3 linked regions of the Sus scrofa genome follow. The protein of the gene in region 2 purifies or fractionates together with the protein of the main gene of each other region. This does not show direct contact. Links are inferred from orthologs where the notes say so. Each region holds a gene or a part of one and is shown on either strand. Other genes may lie near its edges.

Region 1 (6,656 bases), on a different chromosome or scaffold from region 2:
ATGATGCTAACGTCATTGATGATGAGGCTGTGAAAGAAGTGTGTGAAAAATTTGAGTGTACAGAATCAGAAGTAATGAACAGTTTGTATAGTGGTGACCCTCAAGACCAGCTTGCAGTGGCTTATCATCTTGTCATTGACAATCGGAGAATAATGAACCAAGCCAGTGAGTTCTACCTCGCCTCTAGTCCCCCAACTGGTTCTTTTATGGATGATAGTGCCATGCATATTCCCCCAGGCCTGAAACCTCATCCAGAAAGGATGCCACCTCTTATAGCAGACAGCCCTAAAGCAAGATGTCCATTGGATGCACTGAATACAACCAAGCCCAAATCTTTAGCTGTGAAAAAAGCCAAGTGGCATCTTGGGATTCGAAGTCAAAGCAAACCATATGACATTATGGCTGAAGTTTACCGAGCTATGAAGCAGCTGGATTTTGAATGGAAGGTAGGAGATTGGAGTATATGAAGATCATTAGTAGAAGCCCTTTGATATATAGTGAGCTGCTGAGTTGAGTACTGTGGTCAATAAAAAAGTTGGTTTTGATTTATATATGAATTTAGTGGTCTAGATGCTTCTGGCTAATAAACCCCATTCTTTCTAGTAATGTACCATGTACACTCAAAACAAAATAAATCTTTGTAAAGATTAAGAACCGTTGATGTTGGGGACCTATATATTTTTGAATTATAGAATAGCATTCTTGGCCAAGAAAGAGTTTTAATAAACTTGAAATTTCTTGAGAAAATAGCTTACCTGTTTCAGCATGCATCAGAAAAAAAGTCATGTGTCTTCAAAGATAGTATGTTTTTACTTTCTCTTTTTTTCTTTTTGTTAATAGCTGTAGCAACAAGTGGTTCGTACAAATTATACCATCAGGATATATTTATTGAGTTGACAAATACTTTTCTGTAAGTTGAGAAAGCCTGTCTTATTTGGCTAGTGCTTTTAGTCCTTAGTTGTGATATATTTTTTTTTCAGTCCACATTTTACTTTTTTATTAGTGCTCAAATGCATTTCAATTCTATTTGAGTATATGGGGGGCAGTTTTTCCTTTTCAGGTATCTTTTATTTTCGTTCCTTTCTTGAGGACTGGAATGTATTTTTAACAGAAGAAAAATGTTCAAACATACCATGTACATATTCACTTGACATATTTTTATTTCGTTATTTGTACATGGAATGAATAAACAAAATCATATTTCCTTAAAACCATTTAAAAAGCAGATCTCCCTTTTCTGAAATGGTTTTATTTAGTTAGTTTAAAAATAGATGTTAATGTCTTAAAATTCCTTACTGAAAACATTTTGTAAATAATTTGATGTTTTGAAAAAGCAGAATCTTTATCTGAGTTGCTGTTTTATTATCTTCAAAAGAAAATATCTTCCTTGCAAGATTACTATGATACTTCAATTTTGTGACAGTACCTGTTACTGTGCCAGGTTTAAACCATTAACATGTTAGGTCTCTGTCTAGCTTATAGTCCTAGTAAAGGTATCCAAGTTGAGAATGGGCAACGAAGATTATTTAGAGTAGAGGCACATCTGGAAAGAATGCTGGACTCCATATAATCTCTGCATTCCCTTTAAATTTTAATTGCTGTATATAGTACTGTTGGTAGGGATTAAATACTAAACTACTGTGTAATGTAAAAGAAAAAAGATAATTCAGGAATTCCATCTCTGCTCTACCTCTGTCAGTTACTTGTTTTAATATTATTCTTTTCAATAAGAATAAGGTATTTTGTAGTTTATTTTTAATGTTTTCCCTTAAAGAAAAATTTCCGTTTTAGGTAGTGAATGCATACCATCTACGTGTAAGAAGAAAAAATCCAGTGACTGGCAATTATGTGAAAATGAGCTTACAGTTGTACCTGGTTGACAATAGAAGCTATCTTTTGGACTTTAAAAGCATTGATGGTAAGGAAGCCACGCAGGCATGAACTCTGAGAAGATAAAACTTGGCACTAGTTGACAAGATGTTAAAACCATCTCAAAGACATGGTGGGTAGGTCTTCTGTACTGGTTTTTAAGTAACCTAGATTTAACTAAAAGTGTAAGTGAAGCGAAAAGGATCGAAGACATGTGGAAAATCTCTAATCCATCACCTCTCCAAAAGACGTGCTTCCTTGGTATTAAAAAGTCATTTGAAGTGTTGGCTGTAGAGAAAAGGAAGGAACAATTAAGGAAGCAATTTTACCTAAAGTAAGCTGACGTTAGGTTCTTGTCACATTTCCCCAGTCATATTTTACCATTAAGCATTATAATATCTAAACTTCATCTGTTTCTTTCATCTTGGGTGGCCAAGGTATCCTGTATGGCCTCCCCCAGGATTTGGGTTGGGTTTTGATGCCCATGGTTTGGTGCCCCTGACCGGCGAAAGAGTCAGGGAGGTGGTCATGTCCTAGTGTGTGCCAAGAGTCAGACTCGGCTGGTCAGTGTGTGTATTCCACTCAGAGGTCCAAGTGGGATACAAGCAGAATGAACCAAGTGTCCACTGCTGGATGGAACCAGAGGAAAACTGAGTTCTTCAGATTTGGAACTTTATTCTTGGAGTTCCCGTCGTGGCTCAGCAAAAACAAATCTGACTAGTATCCATGAGGATGAGGGTTTGATCCCTGGCCTCGCTGTGTGGGTTAAGGATCCATCGTTGCCATGAGCTGTGCTGTAGGTCACAGATACAGCACAGATCTTGCAGCCGGCAGCTGCATCTCCAATTCAACCCCTAGCCTGGGAACCTCCATATGTTGTGGCCCTAAGAAGACAAAAATCAATCAATTAATAAAATAAATGTTATCCTTGAACTGTCCTCAACTCTAGCTGTGTTTATATGGTCCCCAGATTATCTTCATTGAAAGCACCCAGAGGTCGTCTTAAACTGCAGATTCTTAGGAACTATCTCAGACCTAGCAAATCAATCTCTAGAGATGGGTTCTGGGAAACTGGGAATCTGCATTTTCAAAAATTTCCCTTGCCCGTTGCTGTGGGCAGTTACAGTGCTCTGAAGGATCAGAACCACTCTGCAATGGTAACTTTTGTTTTTATCCTAGTGATTTTTTTTTTTTTTTTTTTTTTGGTGAAATGCTGCAAGAAAATAATCCTCCAAAGGCATGCTTTCTTCAGATGGAAGGGATATTGGTTTCATTTCAAGGTTACTGTCAAATACTATATTAAAGAGGTTTTAGAAGTAATATTTTGGAGTTCCCATCGTGGCTCAGTGGTTAATGAACCCGACTAACATCCACGAGGATGCGGGTTCCATCCCTGGCCTCGCTCAGTGGGTTAAGGATCTGGCGTTGCCATGAGCTGTGGTGTAGCTTGCAGACGAGGCGATCTGGCGTTGCTGTGGCTGTGGTGTAGGCAGGCAGCTGCAGTTCTGATTTGACCTCTAGCCTGGGAACCTCCATATGCTGCAGGTGCAGCCCTAAAAAAAGTCATGTTTTGACTGTATAGAAGTGTTGTGATTGATTAGTGATGTCTGTTACGATTGAGGGAGGGAGGAGCTGTTCCTAAAACACTGAAACATGACATTGCTTGTTAGGTTGTCCTTGCTCAGATGTGTTTACTTAATATTCTGAATACAGTGTCTTCAGAGGAAGAGCTTGGACAAGTATACCTTTCATGTAAATTGCTCTTCTTTGGTCCATTTCAGATGAGGTGCTGGAGCAGAGGTCTGGTTCCTCAACACCTCAGCGGTCCTGCTCTGCTGCTGGCTTGCACAGACCGCGGTCAAGCTTGGATTCTGTCACTGCGGAGAGCCACTCACTCTCTGGCTCTCTCTCTGGCTCCTTGACCGGAAGCATGCTGCCTTCAGTTCCACCTCGCCTGGGCAGTCACACCATGGATTTTTTCGAAATGTGTGCCAGTCTGATCACTACTTTAGCCCGTTGATAATCTTTCCCTAGTTTCTATCTTCTGTTATTGCACTGTGAAAATGAGATATATTCTTTAAATTATTGTTTTACCTATTGAAATCACATACTCTGCAGTAGTGGTTGAGAGACGTAACTATCTCCAGAGGACACTCAATACCTTTGAAATGACTGAAAACAAATCTGACGTTTTATTTACTGTAGACATCTGTAATTCTGTTTTGCCTACGATAAAAATCACATAGGCGGTGTCTTTACTAGGTGAACATCGACGAAGATTGTTGTTCATCTAAAACCGTGGATTCACTGCAGATGATTAAGACATCGTTACTGGTGAACCATCAACGAAGAGTCGCTTGGCATCACCTTCTTGCTTTACTGTGTAGTGTAGGTGAATCCAGTTTGCTTCCTAAATTTCGGCAGGCTTTACGCTGTGTTTATGCCCAAGAAGTTTAAAAAAAAAAAAAAAACCGCAATATTGGTAAGGTAGTATTTAAATGTTGAAATCTTAAATGTCAGCCTCCAAAATTTCAAAAACCAAGTTCTTGTAGAAGTTTTCGCAAATGTTGCCCAGTGTTCAGCAGAAGGGCTGTGGTCCCGAAACAGGTAACCATGATTTCTAAGTTCTTAAAAACAGCTGTAACTAGAGGTTTTATCTTGAGATGTCCCTGAATAATGTACTAAAGATTTGCCTTTAAAGTTCTTCTCAGTACTGGAACATCTGGAATTGCAGCAACTTTTGTCTTTTTCATAAACTTATTTTACGACATGCCTTCAAAATCTATCTTTCTCAAATATTTTTTAGCTCTATTTGTTTTTATACTTCACCAAGCATGATTTGACAGTTAAATGAAACAAAGCAAAATGTCGGTAGTCCCTGTAAAGAGAACTCTTACCTTTGATCTTTAACTGTGTGTAAGGAGTGTGTGTGCCCCGCTGAATCCCGTGATGCTGGTTTTTCATCTGAATTTGGTTGTTGTGGTCCCTCACCTTCCTGGTTGCCTTTGTGTTTAATGTTTCATCTTTAGTGGCCGACTGACTTAGCTTTAAAATCTTTTCTGGTTCTCTTTCTTTGTTCTGTATCTTGGTTGCTAGCCATCCAGTTTGAAAACACTGTTCTGGCCCTAAGGGCTTTTGTGTATTTCCAAAGCTCGGTAGGCTGTGACCTGCACTGTTGAACTTGTTAGGGCAGCGAAACCTTAAACATTCAAAGAATTTTCTCTTGAATAAATATATGTGTTGTTTACACATATACATATATGTATTCGCACATCAGTGCTTTTAAAGGAAAACCAAACTTTTGCTTTTGCTTTGTGCAGGGTTTTTGGTTTTTTAAGGCTTTAAAAAATAACCCTACATACAGCAGGGTAGGTAACAGCCCATTGATTATATTTTGTTTTAATAAAAATATTTAATTTTAAAATCATGTATAATTTATCTAATTGTATTTATTCTTTTTTTTTTTGTTTAAAATGCTGTAATTAACAATATCATTCACCTGACTCACCCTAGAAAAGATTAAGCTCTTGAAAACAAAAAGTGACATTGCCTTGACTGGTTTCTCTTTGCCAAAAATAATGTGTTTTCTACCAAGAAGCAAATGAGAATGTTAGACCAAGTTTCTCCTGTAAAACAAATATGGCTGTTTTTAAATGAGTATTGAGTCAGGGGTTTGCATTGTGTCACATCATATTTTTTGAAGAACTTTTAAAAAATGATACAACTTTTATGTCCGACTTCTTAATAGCAAAGTACAAGGAATCCTTGTTTGCCAGTTTGGGAAAGAGGGTGGAGTTGTAGTTAATATGTTTTAAGTCTAAACCTTTGAAAGATTGCCATCTAGTGGCATCAAAGGATACTTTTTTGTGATTATTTTTATAGGGATAAGCAGTTCTGCTGCGTTAGTTTTGATGTGCATATAGATACGGCATAATTTTGGCCTCAACAAGTGTGTAAATACCTTTTGGGAAAAACAGGGCCACTTCATAATATTTGCCTATGAATGAGATGACCTTCAAAATAAGGAATTACTCTGAATCCTTATTCTCAGTGATAAAATCCCTAACAATTTTGAAGGCAGAGAAATAGCAAGAAGGAATCCAGTGGCATTTTAGCTTCTGTAATGAATCAGATATTAGAAACTTATATCAAAATTTCTTTATATGGATGATTATGTTTTTTAAGAGTTAAAAAATTATTTACTATTTTCTCATTTGTGCCAGTATTTATAAATATCTATATTTTGATAGTTATCTCTTGAATTTTAGGAGAACCAAGGCTCATAGTTTGGTTCTTGTGTGCTTACGTTTTTAAAGCACAGTTATTTTGTGAATATAGATGGTTTAGTACATTGGTTTTTAGAGAGAAGATTATAGGAGGCTCAGCCCACCATAAGGGGGCTAGAGCATTTTCCTAGGAGGTTCTTTGCTGCTCGTGGGCAGAGAGAGGAAGAGAATCAGCTGCTAAGTTCTCGCGTTTTAGTCTTGTAAACTGGTTAGTTGTGGACGTGGTATGGATGTGGTATGTATGTGGTAGACCTGGGATAGGAACAATTTCTCCTGTTAAGATTCTGGAGGAGAGCTGCTATTATTAGGCTGTGAAGTCTTAGCTATACTGTGGAAATGGAATCTGTAATGGTTCTAGAATAGCATTTTCCAAACTATTCTTTGAGATGCTCTGCAGAAGAGAAATTTAATTGAGCGAGTTGGGAAAATGATACTTTCCCACTTGAGGATGACCAAGGATGCGAACATTAAAGACTTTTGCCAGTCCTTTTGTGAAAAAAA
Region 2 (7,428 bases):
AACCAGCCTGGGTCCTTCCCTTTCTGAGGCCTGAGCATTCAGTTCTTCTTTGAATGCTACAAATGCACCCAAATCCTGCCACTAAACTCCCTTGCTTTTTTTTTTTTTTTTTTTTTAAGTGGGGGAGTTCCCCTCGTGGCACAGTGGAAACGAACCCAACTAGTATCCATGAGGACGCGGGTTCAATCCCTGGCCTTGCTCAGTGGGTTAAGGATGTGCTATTGCCGTGAGCTGTGGTGTAGGTCACAGATGTGGCTCTGTTCTGGTATTGCTGTGGCTGTGGTGTAGGCCAGTGGCTACAGCTCCAATTCAACCCCTAGCCTGGGAACCTCCATATGCCACAGGAGCAGCCCTAAAAAGACAGAAAAAAAAAGTGGGGAGGGGGACCAAAGGATGGAGTCAGAAGTCAGGCTAGAAATGCACCCCTTAAGGCCTCCTGTGCAAGTGTGGGTCTCAGATTTCCAGCAGGCAAGGCAGACAGGGAACACGACTGATGACCGTTACAGGCAGAGCAGTCCAGCTGCTCAGAAGCACAGCGATTCTTGGTACCGAGACAGGAAGTTTCTCCCAGGGGTCTCGTGTAAGGATCCGTGTCCTCAGGACATCCTTCAAGTGGAGACTGCGGGTTTCCTGCGAGGCTTCTTTTTTTTTTTTTTTTTTTTTTTGCTTTTTAGGGCTGTACCCCCGGCATATGGAGGTTCCCAGGCTAGGGGTCAAATTGGAGGAGCTGTAGCTGCCAGCCTACACCACAGCCACAGCAATGCAGGATCCAAGCTGCATCTGTGACTCACACCACAGCTCACGGCAACGCCAGATCCTTAACCTAATGGGTAAGCCCAGGGATCGAACCCGCAACCTCATGGTTCCTAGTGGGATTCGTTTCCTCTGTGCCACAACGGGAACTCTGCCTGCGATGCTTCTTACCAAGACCCTCCATAAGGCTGATGGCGTTACCTTCCGGCTCAATTTTGTGAAACCACTTCTGGGGCAGTGGGAGTGGTCTATAGTCCAGGCACCTTGACTCAGGAGTAGAATCGGGCAGGAGGAAGAGCAGATAGACGGTACGCCCCCCGACGCCAGCCCCACACCAGGCACGACTGAAGTTCCTCCCCATGAAGCAGGGCTCTGCCTGGACCAGGACGGTTCAAGGCCAACAGCACAGGCCGCGGTCCTGGGTCTGGACCTGTCCTGGTCGGAACACCCCCTCCCAGAGAGCTTCTCTGGAGAAGCCAAGCACCCACCAAACCTCATCAGTGCGTGTTTTTCCGAGCAGCCCGCACCACTCCACAGCCCACCTGCACCCTGGCTACAGCCAGGCGCTGGAGAAGAGCCCCAACAAGCCACACTTCCCACACAGCCTCTTAAGAGACGCACTTTTGCAGCTGGGTGCTCTCTGGCCAAGCACGCTGAATGGCCCTGGATGACACTGAACGGAAAAGGGCAGCACCGACTCCTGCTTCCAGGGAGCTGAACGTCCTGCCTGCCAGACCCCAGCATCGCACCTGCAGCATCCCACCTGCCAGGCCCCAGCATCCCACCATCCCACCATCCCTTGGCTGGTCCTTTCCACCTTCGGAAATGCCCAGTCTTAACAGCATGACCCCCCAGCACCCGCAAGGCTTCCCCTCCCCCAGAACACGAGCGCAGGTTCTGGCTTCTCCTACATAACCTGTGTCCTGGGTGGGGTCATGTCCCCCCCCAGATTCACGTCCTTCCAGACTGTGACCTTATTTGGAAACGGAGTCATTGTGGGAATAATGAATTAAGAGGAGGTCCTGGAGCAGGGCGGGCCTTGACCCAATGTGGCCATTGTCCTTAGAAGGAAAGGACAAGAAGCACACAGACACGGACTCACGGGGAGAGAAGGCCACCCCGCAGATGGAGCACAGACAGGAGCCAAGGATGCCAGGGACTGCTGGCAACACCAGAAGCTGAGACAAAGACATGGAACAGCTCCTGCCCAGACCCTTCAGAGGGGCCCTGGCCTCTTTGTTTCTTTTTTAAAAAAATCTTATGGCTGAATTTACAGCATATGGATGTTTCCAAGCCACGGATTGAATCCAAGCTGCAGCTGCAGCAACGCCGGATCCTTTAACCCATTGCACCAGGCAGGGGATCAAACCTACACCTCCACAGAGACCTGAGCCATTGCAGTTGGATTTTTAACCCCCACTGCGCCACAGCAGGAACTCCCCTGCTGACTTCCTGATTTGGGTTTCTGGCCGCTGGAACCGTCTGTTGTTTAAGCCACCCAGTTGGGGGACTTTGCGATAGCTGCCCCAGGAATTAACACAACCTAGCTCCATTGTAACCAACGCAGGCACGACGCCACCTCTGGAGAACCAGGACACCTGCTGGAGGTCTGGCCTGCCGTCCCCTCCTCCTGGAGGTGGTGCTTGATGGAATGTTTGAGAATTTCGATCCTGGTCAAGGCAACTCAGGGCGTGCGGACATGGGTGCTAGACTGTTTCTCCCCAGCTGGCTTCATATTTATGCTTCCCCACAGCGCGCCACCTGTCCTGTCTACCGTGTCATGTGACCTTTAGGTGCTTGGGCGGAGGTTTGGTCGTGGGGGCAGGGATGACTTGAGGGGTGCTACGATCAACACCCCAAAGCACTAAGAAAATAAAACAGTTGCCCACCCTTTCCTGACAAGTCACGGCGGCTGGAATGGAGCTCGGGGCTGGCCTTGAAGCTCAGGACGGCTCCAGCCTACAGGTCTTGCTGCAAACGCAGCCTGGCGAGGAAGGAGGCCCGCTCCAGCCCTGACACCTAAGAGCAAGTCTGTCTTCCAAATCGCTGTCTTCCTGGATAGGAACTTTCTGTGTCACCAGCAAGAGTCACAGGAAGAGGGAGCTTCCCTAAGACACGGCAAAGGAGAAAAGCCACTCCGCCCGCCTTCCGGTGGCCTCGCCTGCTTCCAATCACCACTGACAGTGCTGGACTGGGAATAGTTTTAGCCTTGGATCACAAATCCTCGTGAGCCTAAAGCACTCTCTCTTAAACACACATTTCTCTAACCAATCAACCCCAGCTACCCTGGCCTCAAACGGAAAGCCAGAATCTGCCAGACATGGGTACACTCAAGTCCCCCAAACACCAGGCCCCAAGCCCTACCAGGCCCCGGACTCAACCTCAGCTGCACCCCGCTACTGTTTTCCAGAGGAGGCTGGAGGCCGGCGCTCCGCGTGGCTGTCCTCACACGCCATCCGGTGAGTATCGGGATGCCAACCCCACCAGCCGCGCCATACCCACCAGACCGGGTGGATTCGTGCAGGAAGAAAGCGCCCGGTGGCAAGTGATATTCTGGAGATCCGTCTGTTCTTGGGGGACAGACACAGGCGCAAAGCCCTCCCCCCATCACGGACTGTCACCCGATCAGCCTGGGTGCCCCCGCAGGTGGCACTGCAGCCGAGTGGCGCTGAGAAGGTCCCCGGAAGCCCTGCACCCACCTGAAACAATAGCATCAATGTCTTACTTTTTCTGGAGCGGGAGAAGAGCTTGATGCCCCCGGGCGAGGTGGACGGGTTGGAGCTGGGGGAGGATTCTTTGGACGAGGAGCGGAAGATCCCGCTGAAGCTCATGCGGCGCGGGGAGCGCGGCGGGGACTCCTGGTAGGAGAACGGGAACACGGTTTTGGGGGAGCCGGGGCTGGTCTTGGGCCTCACGGGAGCAGACACGGGGCTGGAGGGCCGGGGCTGGGGGCCTCTGGAGAAGAAGCCCTTGGAGGGGCTGCCCGAGCTGAAGGGGCTGTCCACCTGCAGGAGACAGACAGACAGGGGAGGTCACTAGCCTGCCTGCCCCCCGCTGTCCCCCACCGCCGAGCTGCTGGTCCACGACACCCTGCAACTCCCCCCCTTATCCTCTGTGCGGCTCAGGCTCGAGGCTTTCACGTCTCGGGACTGCGTGTTTGTCCCTCTCGAGGTCTGACTGCACTGGAATCACATTCTCCCGCCCCCTTCAAAGGGGGGGAACATAAGTCTCTACAATCTGGAGTTCCCATCGCGGCTCAGCGGTAATGAACGCGACTAGTATCCACAAGGACGTGGGTTCGATCCCTGGCCCCACCCAGTGGCTTAAGGATCCAGTGTTGCCATGAGCTGTGGTGTAGGTCAAAGTCGCAGCTCGGATCCCGCGTTGCTGTGGCTGACACGGAGGCCGGCAGCTGCAGCTCCAATTCAACTCCTGGCCTGGGAACTTCTATATGCTGCAGATGTGGCTGGAAACACACACACACACACACACAAGTCTCTATGATCTGAAAGGCAGGCAGCCTGGGGCTCCATCCTCAGGTGCCCTGGTGGGGAAGGGATGAGGTTTTCATCCCCCGCTGCTCTGGCTTTGGAAGGACTGGGGCTGCTGGCAGAGGTCGGGGAGAAAGTTGAGGCCGAACACCTCTGAGGCTCACTCCGGTGATGACGTGAAATTGTGACTGTGGTCTGAAAAATTACTGGACTCTGTATGTAAGCCAAGGCCCACAGCTCGGGGGCTCAAGGAATCTGGAATGTGTCCTGCTGGTGGGAGTGGGAGGTGATACTCCCGTCTGAGTGCCCGCTGCTCAGGGCCGTCTGAAGGGGCAGCGGCCCAGATCCGATGCACAGGCAGGACCCACACTCTGTATGTTAAACTGCTGTCGTCTTATCGGTAACCCTGCAGCTCAGGAGCCCAAGGGCCTCAGGGCCTCCCAGCTCTGTGGCAGGAAAGAAAAGCAACTTGTCCACTGGGCTCTGGGGCAAGGACGAGGCCTGGCAGGAGGGCCTGGGCTCCACACGGCTGGGACCTCGGGGGCGCTGAGCAGGTGGCGAAAGCACAGATCCAGAGGCGCCCCTGTGTGTCCACGTGGGCGCCTGCGGGGCCCAGGACCCTGTGAGCTTTCCCACCACTAGAGGGCGCCATGAGCCGAGAAGTGATGCCTGGCAGGAGAGCCGCATCAGGGACCCTGGACCCAGTGTGGCCACTGCAGGGGTGGGGGTGCCCGTGGCAGGGGTGTGGAGGCACAGAAGCTGGCTCCATGCAAATCCCCTCGCCCAGGGGGCTTCTGAGACAGGCTGGCCGAGCTCTACCAGAGCCCTGTAACTCCAGCTCTCCTCCTTAGGCAGAAGGTCAAGTTTTTGCAAGGCTTCGATACAAAAAGCATTTAGATTCTGTCTCTGGAGCATTGGGTTCAGTCACTATCCACCCACCCGTGGGATTCAACCTTTCTAAAGCGTTTGCAAATCCTAAGAATAATTACCACAGAGAAGCTTCTGAAGCAGTGGGTGGCGTGTGCGTGTGGACGTGGGGTGGGGCGGGGGAACAGCAGGCCCGGGATGGAGGTGACCCCACAGCAGGGACTTCAAACTCCCAGCGTGGTTTCAATCCGCACATGGTTTCTGGCAGTGGGGCGGGACTTCAGCATCAGTGTCCTCATCTATGCGATGGGGACACTAGGCTAACTTGCAGGGCCTCGAAGAGATAGAATGGACTAGCGGGGAAGCGCCTGGCACACAGTAGGTGCTCATACTATCTGGCCAGCCCTCCACGCCCCAACCTGGTCACCCCAACCTGTTGGCTTCCTTGCAGAGAAAAAACTGACCATCGTGAGAGGAAAGACTGTGGGCTAAAGAGAGGACAGGACAGTGGAAAAGACAAAAGGGAGAGAAGGACATTGGATGGGCTGAGGGTGGAGAGGGCGGGGGCAGAACGGGGCAGAAGGAAAGGGGGCCCGTGGGGAGAAGGTGGGAGCACATGTGGACATGCAGGTGAGAGCACAGGTGGGAGCAGCAGATGTAGAGGTGGGAGCACAGGTGGCAGCAGTGGATGTACAGATGGGAACACAGGTGCATAGACATGTAGGTGGGAGCACAGGTGAGGGCACAGGTGGGAGCAGTGGATATACAGGTGGGAGCACAGGTGAGAGCACAGCAGCAGCAGAGGGGAGCATAGGTAAGAGCACAGGTGGGAGCAGTGGATGTACAGATGAGAGCATCAGGGGGAGCACAGGTGGACATACAGGTGGGAATGGGTTTGGGGGTTGCACCGAGGGAGTGCTGCCTCAGTAGCATCTCAGGTGAGCTGTGACAAGCCGTGAGGACGGTGGCCTTACCTTGCGAGAAGAATGCTTTTCTGAACTCTCCAGGTCTCCATCCAGGAGCGGCATGGCAAAGGAACTCAGGTCCTAGGACGGAAACAGAGCATGGGGTCCATAACCTTGGCCCTCAGGTGCCCACCTGGCCTCATGTGGGGCCGCATGTGGCTCTAAACCCCTTCCTGAGTCCGCCTGGAAAATTACTCACAGGGAGGGGCGCGGAGGGCCACCAAGTAAAACGAGGGGGTGGGGACGTGCTGGCCCCCCTCCGAGAGCCTGACCACCCCACCTCCCCTTCCAGGATGCAAAGCCGCCACCTCCTGCCACGCAGGGACCCCAGGTGGGTAGGGAGAGCGAGCGAGGGAAGTCGTGGGGAGCAAGAGAGAGGATCAAACGCACGGCACGCTCTGGGGGCGATGGGCGCAACCTCATCTCACGACAGGAACCCAGCCAAGACGGGTGTGGCCCCAGGAAGGAGACGGGGCCGTGGGGGGCTGGCGACGGGGACAGTGGTCAGCGAAGCCTGATGACACTGTGGCCCAGAGAAATGGCCTCGGGGCAGTAGTTCCCTACAAGCTCTAACACAAAGTCAAGTGTCACCCTCCGAGCTCCCCTGCCTCCTGGGTCTTGCCCGGGGGACACCCACGCCCCAGGCAGAGCCCCCAGCGGGTGGCCCTCCACTGCAAGAACTGGCCCGCGCCCCAATCGCCCCTTCTCCCTTTTTTAACTGTGGTGAAATACACATCACCCAAGCTTTGCCACTGTAACCACTCCACAGGGACACTTCAGGGGCGTGAAGCACATTTACATAACCAACCCCCCCCCCCCGAGGGGGGGCATCTCCAATTTGCAAAGTGAAACTCTACCCTCATTCGACAATGATGCCCCAGACCCTCCCCAGCCCCTGGCACCCCCCCCACCCCCGCCATTCTACCTTCTGTCTCTATAAACGGCTCGATTCTTGAGACCGCGTGTAAGTGGAATCATACGGTATTCACCTTTTTGTCACTGGCTTATTTCACTGAGTATAATGTCCCCAAGTCTGCCTGTGCTGTAGCTTGTGTCAGGATGTCCTTCCTTTTAAAGGCTGAATAATGTATGGATACCACATGTTGTTTCACTATTCATCCATCAAGAGGCATTGGGTTACTTCCGCCTCTTGGCTCTTGTGAATAAAGCTGCAATGAACACGGGTGTTACAGGTCGAACGGTGTCCCCCTAAAAATTCATAGGTTGGAAGTTACAACCACCCCAGTGGAGTGCCCGTTGTGGCTTAGCAGGTTGAGAACCTGACTAATATCCATGAAGTTATGGGTTTGATCCCTGGCCTCATTCGGTGGGTTAAGGATCTGGCGTTGCCA
Region 3 (7,428 bases), on a different chromosome or scaffold from region 2:
CTGACAACAGGACAACTGGTTGAAGAAAGACATTTTAAGCTCATACTTACTGAGGAATAAGACCCATGATTTACTCCTTAGTAAGGCTGAACTAGCTCTGTTCTTAAGGACACCAATGTAGGAACAAGGCACAAGAAGGAAATTGTGGGGATTCATTGAAAGTCAACATACTAACCAGTGAGGCTTGCTAGCCTTTCCCCATTTAGCTCGCAGAGGCACTGGCAGCTAAGCCAATAGCCACAAGGAAACTAGAAGGTTTCTTCTACAGCAGCTAAATATTTATACATTTTCTCCTTTTTTGGCTGCACCCAAGGCATGGGGAAATTCCAGGGCCAGGGACTGAATCCCAGTCGCATCTGTGACCTACACCACAGCTGTGGCAGTGCTAATATTCCTTAACCCATTGAGCTGGGCTGGGGATTGAACCAGCAATGCCACGAGACAAGCTGGATTATTAACCCACTTCACCACAATGGAAATTCCAAAATATGTGTAATTATTGACATTCTCTAATCAAATGGGCAGGTCCCTACCTATTCAACTTATGGGAAGACCCACCAATCAATAAGTTCTACCACCATGAGCTTTGCATTTAGTATTTCACTCTCAGATATGGGCCCACAACCCAGAATCACCAGACATCTGAGCAAGAGCCATGTACAAAAGACAAAGACCAATAAAATGAACAGAAGAACAGGGAGCAGGGAGCACAGAAGGCACAGAGGCAATGTAGGGAACAGAAGAAAACTTTTTTTTTTAAACTAATTGCCATCTTCATATAGATAAGTTTATTTGCTCAATGGAACAAAAAAATAGGCTAATTTGAGAAAGACAATTTCAGAAAATAAGAAAGAGATCTTTGAAATAGAAAAATGACAGCTGGAATTTTAATATGCAAGAGGCAAAATTGAGGGAAATATCCGTAACGTAAAACAAAATGATCAAGACATGAAAAAAGGAAGAGAAATGATAAGAAAGCAAGATATCAATCCAACTTATGTCTGTTCCCATTTCTCTAGGCAGAACATTGGGGCAGAACATTGGGGAGATTGGAGGAGGAAGGGGGACTGAAAAGACAGATAAAACACTTGAAATTGAAATGAACCATGTTAAAAAATGGTAAAATTAAAATTAACTTGGCTAATGATTTTGATGAAAGTAAACAGATGTGCTATATAGAACAAATGAATGAATGATATAAGAACTCTAAATTGGGAGGGAAAAAAAACTGGCTTCTCCATGCTCGACCTGCTCTTCTGGAAAGAGGTTTTTGCATACTACATACCCCAAGTTGAGAAAAAGTATGGATGGGGGGTAGTGTGCAGTTTTGGTATCTGTAACTTAAGATACTGTTAAAACTGCCTTCTAAAGTTCCTTCCAATTCTGAATTCTTTAAGTCTAATTTCTCCTTCACAGAACCTGTTCTGACTATTCCAGGTACACCAGATTTCTGAAACCAAAAAATGAATGCAATTTAAATGTGGCTAGGGTTGACTAGCAAGGCCTCGATCTTTAAGTATTTAATAACATATTTTGTGAGGACTAAATACCTACTTTTAGATATATATTAAAATTATCCTTGTGCCCCAGAAGCTAAGTCTGAAGATCATGAGTTTTGGAATCTCAATCCAATTCTGTCGTCAATAAATTATGTGACCTTAAGCAAATATATAAACTGTCAGTCTCAGATTCCATATCTGTGTAAGTAGTACGGAGATAATATTTAAGATCCTTCCTAGCTCTAAACAGTCTCTGATTCTAGGCAAATATATGAATAAAGGAACTGGTTATTAAATAGACCTCTTAACAAAATTGCTTTCTGGTATTTTTTGATGCTAGTAAGGGATAAGGGAAGTTACAAAATATATATAGGATTAAATCAGAACTGCTTACCCTTCCATTTTTACAGATATAATCAAATAGCTCGCCTCCTGAAACATATTCCATCACCATGAAAATATCAGATGGTGTACTGATGACCTGGTACCTGGTGAGAGAAAACATTGTCTACCAGTATTAAACACGTATATTCATTCATTCAATAAATATTTACTGAGTGCCTACAATACACCAGGCATTGCGCCGGGAGCTGGGAAAACTGTAGGGAACAAAATAAATTCTCTACTCTCATGGAGTTCGTGTTCCAGGAGCCAGGAAACAGACACTAAGTAAAAAGGCAATATCTCAGGTGGTGGAACATGCTATGAAGAGGAGAAAAGCAAACTAAAGGGAATCATTCAGACAGGGTGTTCAAGGAAGGCCTCTCTGATGAAGTAACACTTAAGCAGAGCCTTGGAAGTGAGGAAACTAACTCTGCCATTATCTAGGAAGACGGTAAACCCGGCAGAGGAAACAGCAAGTGCAAAGGCCCCCAGGTGGAAACCTGCCTGGCAGGTTTGAGCAATGGTAGGAAGGCTGGAACAGAGTGAGCAAGAAGAGAGAAACAGGATGTGGCCTCCAAGAGGTAACAGAAAACCTTACAAAGACCTTACAGCCATGATGAGGCTCTGGCTTTTATTCCATGGGAGAAAGAAAGCTACTGAAGGTTTTAAGCAAAGTTGTCCTGTGATCTGGCTGATTAAAAGAGTAACTTTAGTTTACAGCAGTAGTGTGAAGAACTGACTGGGGGCAGTAAGGTGGTAGTAGGTGGCTACTGCAGTGGTCCAAGAGAGAGATAAAGGTGGCTCACACTGGGTTGATGACATAAGGAACTGACAAACACTCAGATACTAGATTTATTTTTGAAGGAAGAGATGGAATGGAGGGTAGGAAGTGAGAGAGATAGGAAAGTTAAGGATAGTTCCTGAGTTTCTGCCCTGAGGATATTAACTGAGATGGTGAAATAAAGAGTTCAGTTTTGGGCATGTACCTCGTGCATACCCCAATGGAGGTGTAAAACAGGCTGTGGACATATGAGTCGGGAATTAAGGAACAAGTTTCAAAAGAGGAGATGTATATTTAACGGTCGCCAGCATAAGGATGGTACCTAAAACATGGCACCTCAACAAATGAGAAGAGGTGAGCATGAAACAAATTCTGAGTTAGCCAGTTCAATACAAAAGTCTAAATGGTTTTCATTCACAGCCTGCATAATAAAGCTGAACAGTATACAGTTACCTATAGACCCTACAATTGGCAACTATAAAACAATGATAGTATTGCCACCTTTTGAAATGTTGAATTCCTGAAATCTATTATTTGTTATTTGCTTTATCAGATATAAGCAGTGGGGGGGGCAGAGGGGGAGGGGAGCCCTTTCTACTGCAATGTCTCTAGTGAGGCTGACATGTGGAAATTTGGAGGTCAAGAGTTTTTACTAGCAAATCATTCTTGGCGCTATAGCAATAGGGGTGCTGCAGGTGATCTATCAGAGGGGCATCAGTCCAGAGGACAAGAAAGAATAAGATAGATAACACCCGATAAGCACAAGGGCAAAACATGGACATAGGCTTTAGTGACCGTGAATGGGGTTAGATAAATACATAAATGGGAAGAAGTTTTAAAACCCTCAGGAACAGACTGAAGAAATGTCACTCATCTTTCTCACTTGTCAGATTAAGCAGGTTAACAAAAATAATGAGAAATAACATGTACATTTAATATAATCAGATCTTACAATTTAATTATATGAGGATGCCTGAAAAGCTTGAGGTTCTGAATTTCTCTGCGGATTTTTCCTACTACATCAAGGCTTCGAATCTTCTGTCGATTGAGTATCTTCACAGCAACTTTATGACCAGTCAATTCATGTTTGCCAACTGTAGGGGAAATAATTTTAATAAATTAGTGCCAGGTTTGATTAATAACATACATAGAACTATTCCAAGAGTAATAATCTTAGCAATCTCTGAAAATACTTGAACAACTCCAAGTTCCTTTCAATTCTGCCTGATTTATCCCTGAATGTTTAGATGTTTAAGAGTGAAAGTGGGAAAATAATACTAGTAACAGTGGTCTCTTACAGAAAGAAAAGCTGGAAGGCTAAGGGAGAGAGAAAAAGAGACTTCCTTTTTTGCTCTCTTTCTGTACTTTGAAATCGTCTTAATTTACTTTTCATGTTTTAATCTATCAAACATGCAAATTGAAGTTTTTTCTGTGGTATGCAGTATTAGAGATTTTAACCCAGGTAGACATTGGTGTAACCACCATTACAATCAGATACAGAATAGTTCCATCATTCCAAAAACTCCCTCATATTAAACATACTTCCTCTATCTATAATCACTTGAATCATGAGCACATAGCTTCTATGTTATTAAATAAGAAAAAAAAATTTAAGTGATTATCTTTCAATTTTGAATGCTATAACCAGATAATCAATGGTTACAGTAGAATTTAGACATTTTTTTTTTTATAAAGGCAAAGTCACCAAAAATTTAGCTTCTATCACCCTTTCTCAAGAATCTAGGGGAGAGGCAGTTCCCTGGTGAACTAGTGGTCTATGGGCTAGTGGTCCATGGGCTAGTCCATGCTTTTGCTGCTGTGACCCGGGTTCAATTCCTGGTCTGGGAACTGAGATTGCAAACCACACAGCTGCACACTACAGCCAAACAAACAAGTTAAACAAACAAAAACAAAAGAACCTGGTGGAGAATATATATTCCATCAAAATCAGGAAGGAAATCAAGATGACAGTCAGTAAAGATGGAATCAAATAAATATAGAGGAAAAAGAACTCCCAGTACGGTAATGAAGAAAATCCTAGGTAACAACTATGTAGAAGGCTAGAAGGCAACAAATCCAGACCAATATTATTATTGAGGACCAGGATGGTTATTTCCCAGGAGGTGGGTAGGGAGTGGATAGGTGTGGAATAGATAAAAATTAAATGTTCTATAAGAAAATATATTCATAGGGGAGTTCCTGTCATGGCTCAGCAGAAACGAATCTGACTAGTACTCATGAGGATGCAGGTTTGATCCCTGGCCTCGATCAGTGGGTTCAGGATCCAGCGTTGCCATGAGCTGTGGTGTAGGTCACAAATGCGGCTTGGATCTGGCATTGCTGTGGCTGTGGTGTAGGCAGGCAGCTCCAGCTCCAGTTACACTCCTAGCCTGGGAACCTACATATGCTGTGGGTGTGGCTCTAAAAGGACAAAAAAAAAAAAAGAAAGAAAAGATAGTCATAGTATTGGCTTAGCAAATAGTTTTTATACAGTCACAATTATGAAAACACCAAATACAAATTTTTTTAAAAGTATGACCTAATTACAGTAGAAGAATGAGAGTGTAGAGGAAAAGGTATAAAAGAACTAATATCCTGGACATGGAGGGTATTATGCTTACTGAAGTACATCGTAAGTCGGACAGTCTCCTCAGCAAGTGGTGTTGAGAAAACTGGATAGCCTCATGTAAATCAATGAAGTTCGAACACTCCCTCACACCATACACAAAAATAAACTCAAAATGGCTAAAAGACTTAAATATAAAACAGAACACCATAAAACTCCCTAGAAAATTACATAGGCAAAATATTCTGACATAAATCGCAGCAATATTTTCTTAGATTGGTTTCTCAAGGCAAAAGAAATAAAAGCAAAAATAAACAAATGGGGAGTTCCCGTCGTGGCGCAGTGGTTAACGAATCCGACTAGGAACCATGAGGTTGCGGGTTCGATCCCTGCCCTTGCTCAGTGGGTTAACGATCCGGCGTTGCCATGAGCTGTGGTGTAGGTTGCAGACACAGCTCGGATCCCGCGTTGCTGTGGCTCTGGCGTAGGCCGGTGGCTACAGCTCCGATTCAACCCCTAGCCTGGGAACCTCCATATGCCCTGGGAGCGGCCCAAGAAATAGCAACAATAACAACAACAACAACAAAAAAAAAGACAAAAGACAAAATGGGACCTAATCAAATTTAAAAGCTTTTGCACAAAAGGAAAACCACAAAACAAAAGGATAACCTATGGCCAGGGAGAAGACATTTGCAAATGATGCAACCAACAAGGGGTTAATTTCCAAAGCATATAAACAGCTTTCTCAATATCTAAACAAAAACCCAATCAAAAAATGGGCTGAAGACCTAAATACACTTTTCTCCAAAGAAGACACAGATGGCCAACAGGTACATAAAAAGTGCTCAACATTTCTAATTATTAGAGAAATGCAAATCAAAAGTACAATGAGACATAACCCCATACTGGTCAGAATGGCCACCATCAAACTGTCTACAAATAATAAATGCTGGAGAGGATATGGAGAAAAGGAGACCCTCCTACACTGTTGGTGGGACTGTAAATTGCTGCAGCCACTATGGAGGTTCCTTAGAAAACTAAAAACAGAGTTATCATATGATTTAGCAATTTTACTCCTGGGCATATATATCTGAAAGAGACAAAAACTCTAACTAGATATGTGCACCCTAGTGTTTACTGCAACACTACAACAGCCAAGACATGGAAGTAATCTGCATGTCCATCAACAGAGGAATGGATAAAGAAAACTTGGTACATACACATATACAATGGAGTACTGCTCAGCCATAAAAAAGAATGAAATAATGCCATCTGCAGCAACATGGAGGGAGCTAGAGATTATCATACTAACGGAAGTCAGTCAGAGAGAAAGACAAATATCATATGATATCACTTATATATACAATCTAAAAAAAAATAAAAATGAACATATTTACAAAACAGAAAGGGATTCACAGACACTGAAAACAAATTTATGGTCACCAAAAGAGGAAGGATGGTGAGGGATAAATCAGGAGTATGGGATTGACAAATACACACCACTATATATAAAATAGATAACCTATAATGCAAAAGAATCTGAAAAAAAATATATATATATATGAATAAGCTAAAAGAATACACTGTGCAGCACAGTGTGTGTGTGTGTGTATATAGCCAAACCATTTTGCTGTATATCAGAAAATAACACAGTATTGTAAATCAACTATACTTCAATAAAGTTTTTTAATTTTTAATAAAACAAACTAGTAAATATAATAAAAAAGAAATAGACTCACAGATATAGAGAACAAACTTGTGGTTACCCATGGAGAGACACAGTGGGGAGGGGCAAGATAGAGGTAGGGGAGGTATAAACTACTAAGTATAAAATAAATAAGCTACAAGGACATACTTCATTGCACAGGGAATATAGCCAATATTTCATAATAACTTGAAATGAAGTATAATCCATAGAAATCTTTTTTGGCCGCACCCACAGCATGCGGAAATTCCCAGGCCAGAGATCAAACCCTCACCGCAGTAGTGACCCGAGCCACTGTTATAACAATGCCAGATCCTTAACCTGCTGCACCACAAGAGAACTCTCTAAATAAATTATTTAGAATTTTAGTTTTTCAGGAAAAAAAATATTCTCTTCTAAATAAAACATAATTTGTAAAACCAATGTCAAAAAGCTTTCCTTGGCATGTTTATTAATCACCAACTGAAAATCAATTTCTGCTGTTAAAGCCACT

Evidence for each region.
Region 1: the proteins of PRKAG2 (region 2) and PRKAA2 purify together in Homo sapiens (affinity purification with mass spectrometry; 5 studies listed by BioGRID and IntAct, counting the BioPlex papers as one, with this or other methods). This does not show direct contact. The link is inferred for Sus scrofa from reciprocal best matches to the Homo sapiens genes PRKAG2 and PRKAA2.
Region 3: the proteins of PRKAG2 (region 2) and PRKAA1 purify together in Homo sapiens (affinity purification with mass spectrometry; 8 studies listed by BioGRID and IntAct, counting the BioPlex papers as one, with this or other methods). This does not show direct contact. The link is inferred for Sus scrofa from reciprocal best matches to the Homo sapiens genes PRKAG2 and PRKAA1.

What each region holds. Positions count from the first base shown.
Region 1 is NC_010448.4:155,687,958-155,694,613, reverse strand, and holds the end of PRKAA2 (5'-AMP-activated protein kinase catalytic subunit alpha-2), read left to right. Parts: coding exon 1-446; intron 447-1,791; coding exon 1,792-1,918; exon of another isoform or gene 1,919-2,006; intron 2,007-3,650; coding exon 3,651-3,889; 3' UTR 3,890-4,324; downstream 4,325-6,656. UniProt on the Homo sapiens protein: Catalytic subunit of AMP-activated protein kinase (AMPK), an energy sensor protein kinase that plays a key role in regulating cellular energy metabolism.
Region 2 is NC_010460.4:5,556,024-5,563,451, reverse strand, and holds part of PRKAG2 (5'-AMP-activated protein kinase subunit gamma-2), read right to left. Parts: intron 6,158-7,428; coding exon 6,086-6,157; intron 3,759-6,085; coding exon 3,479-3,758; coding exon of another isoform or gene 3,453-3,478; intron 1-3,452. UniProt on the Homo sapiens protein: AMP/ATP-binding subunit of AMP-activated protein kinase (AMPK), an energy sensor protein kinase that plays a key role in regulating cellular energy metabolism.
Region 3 is NC_010458.4:25,761,150-25,768,577, forward strand, and holds part of PRKAA1 (5'-AMP-activated protein kinase catalytic subunit alpha-1), read right to left. Parts: intron 3,759-7,428; coding exon 3,617-3,758; intron 1,988-3,616; coding exon 1,894-1,987; intron 1-1,893. UniProt on the Homo sapiens protein: Catalytic subunit of AMP-activated protein kinase (AMPK), an energy sensor protein kinase that plays a key role in regulating cellular energy metabolism.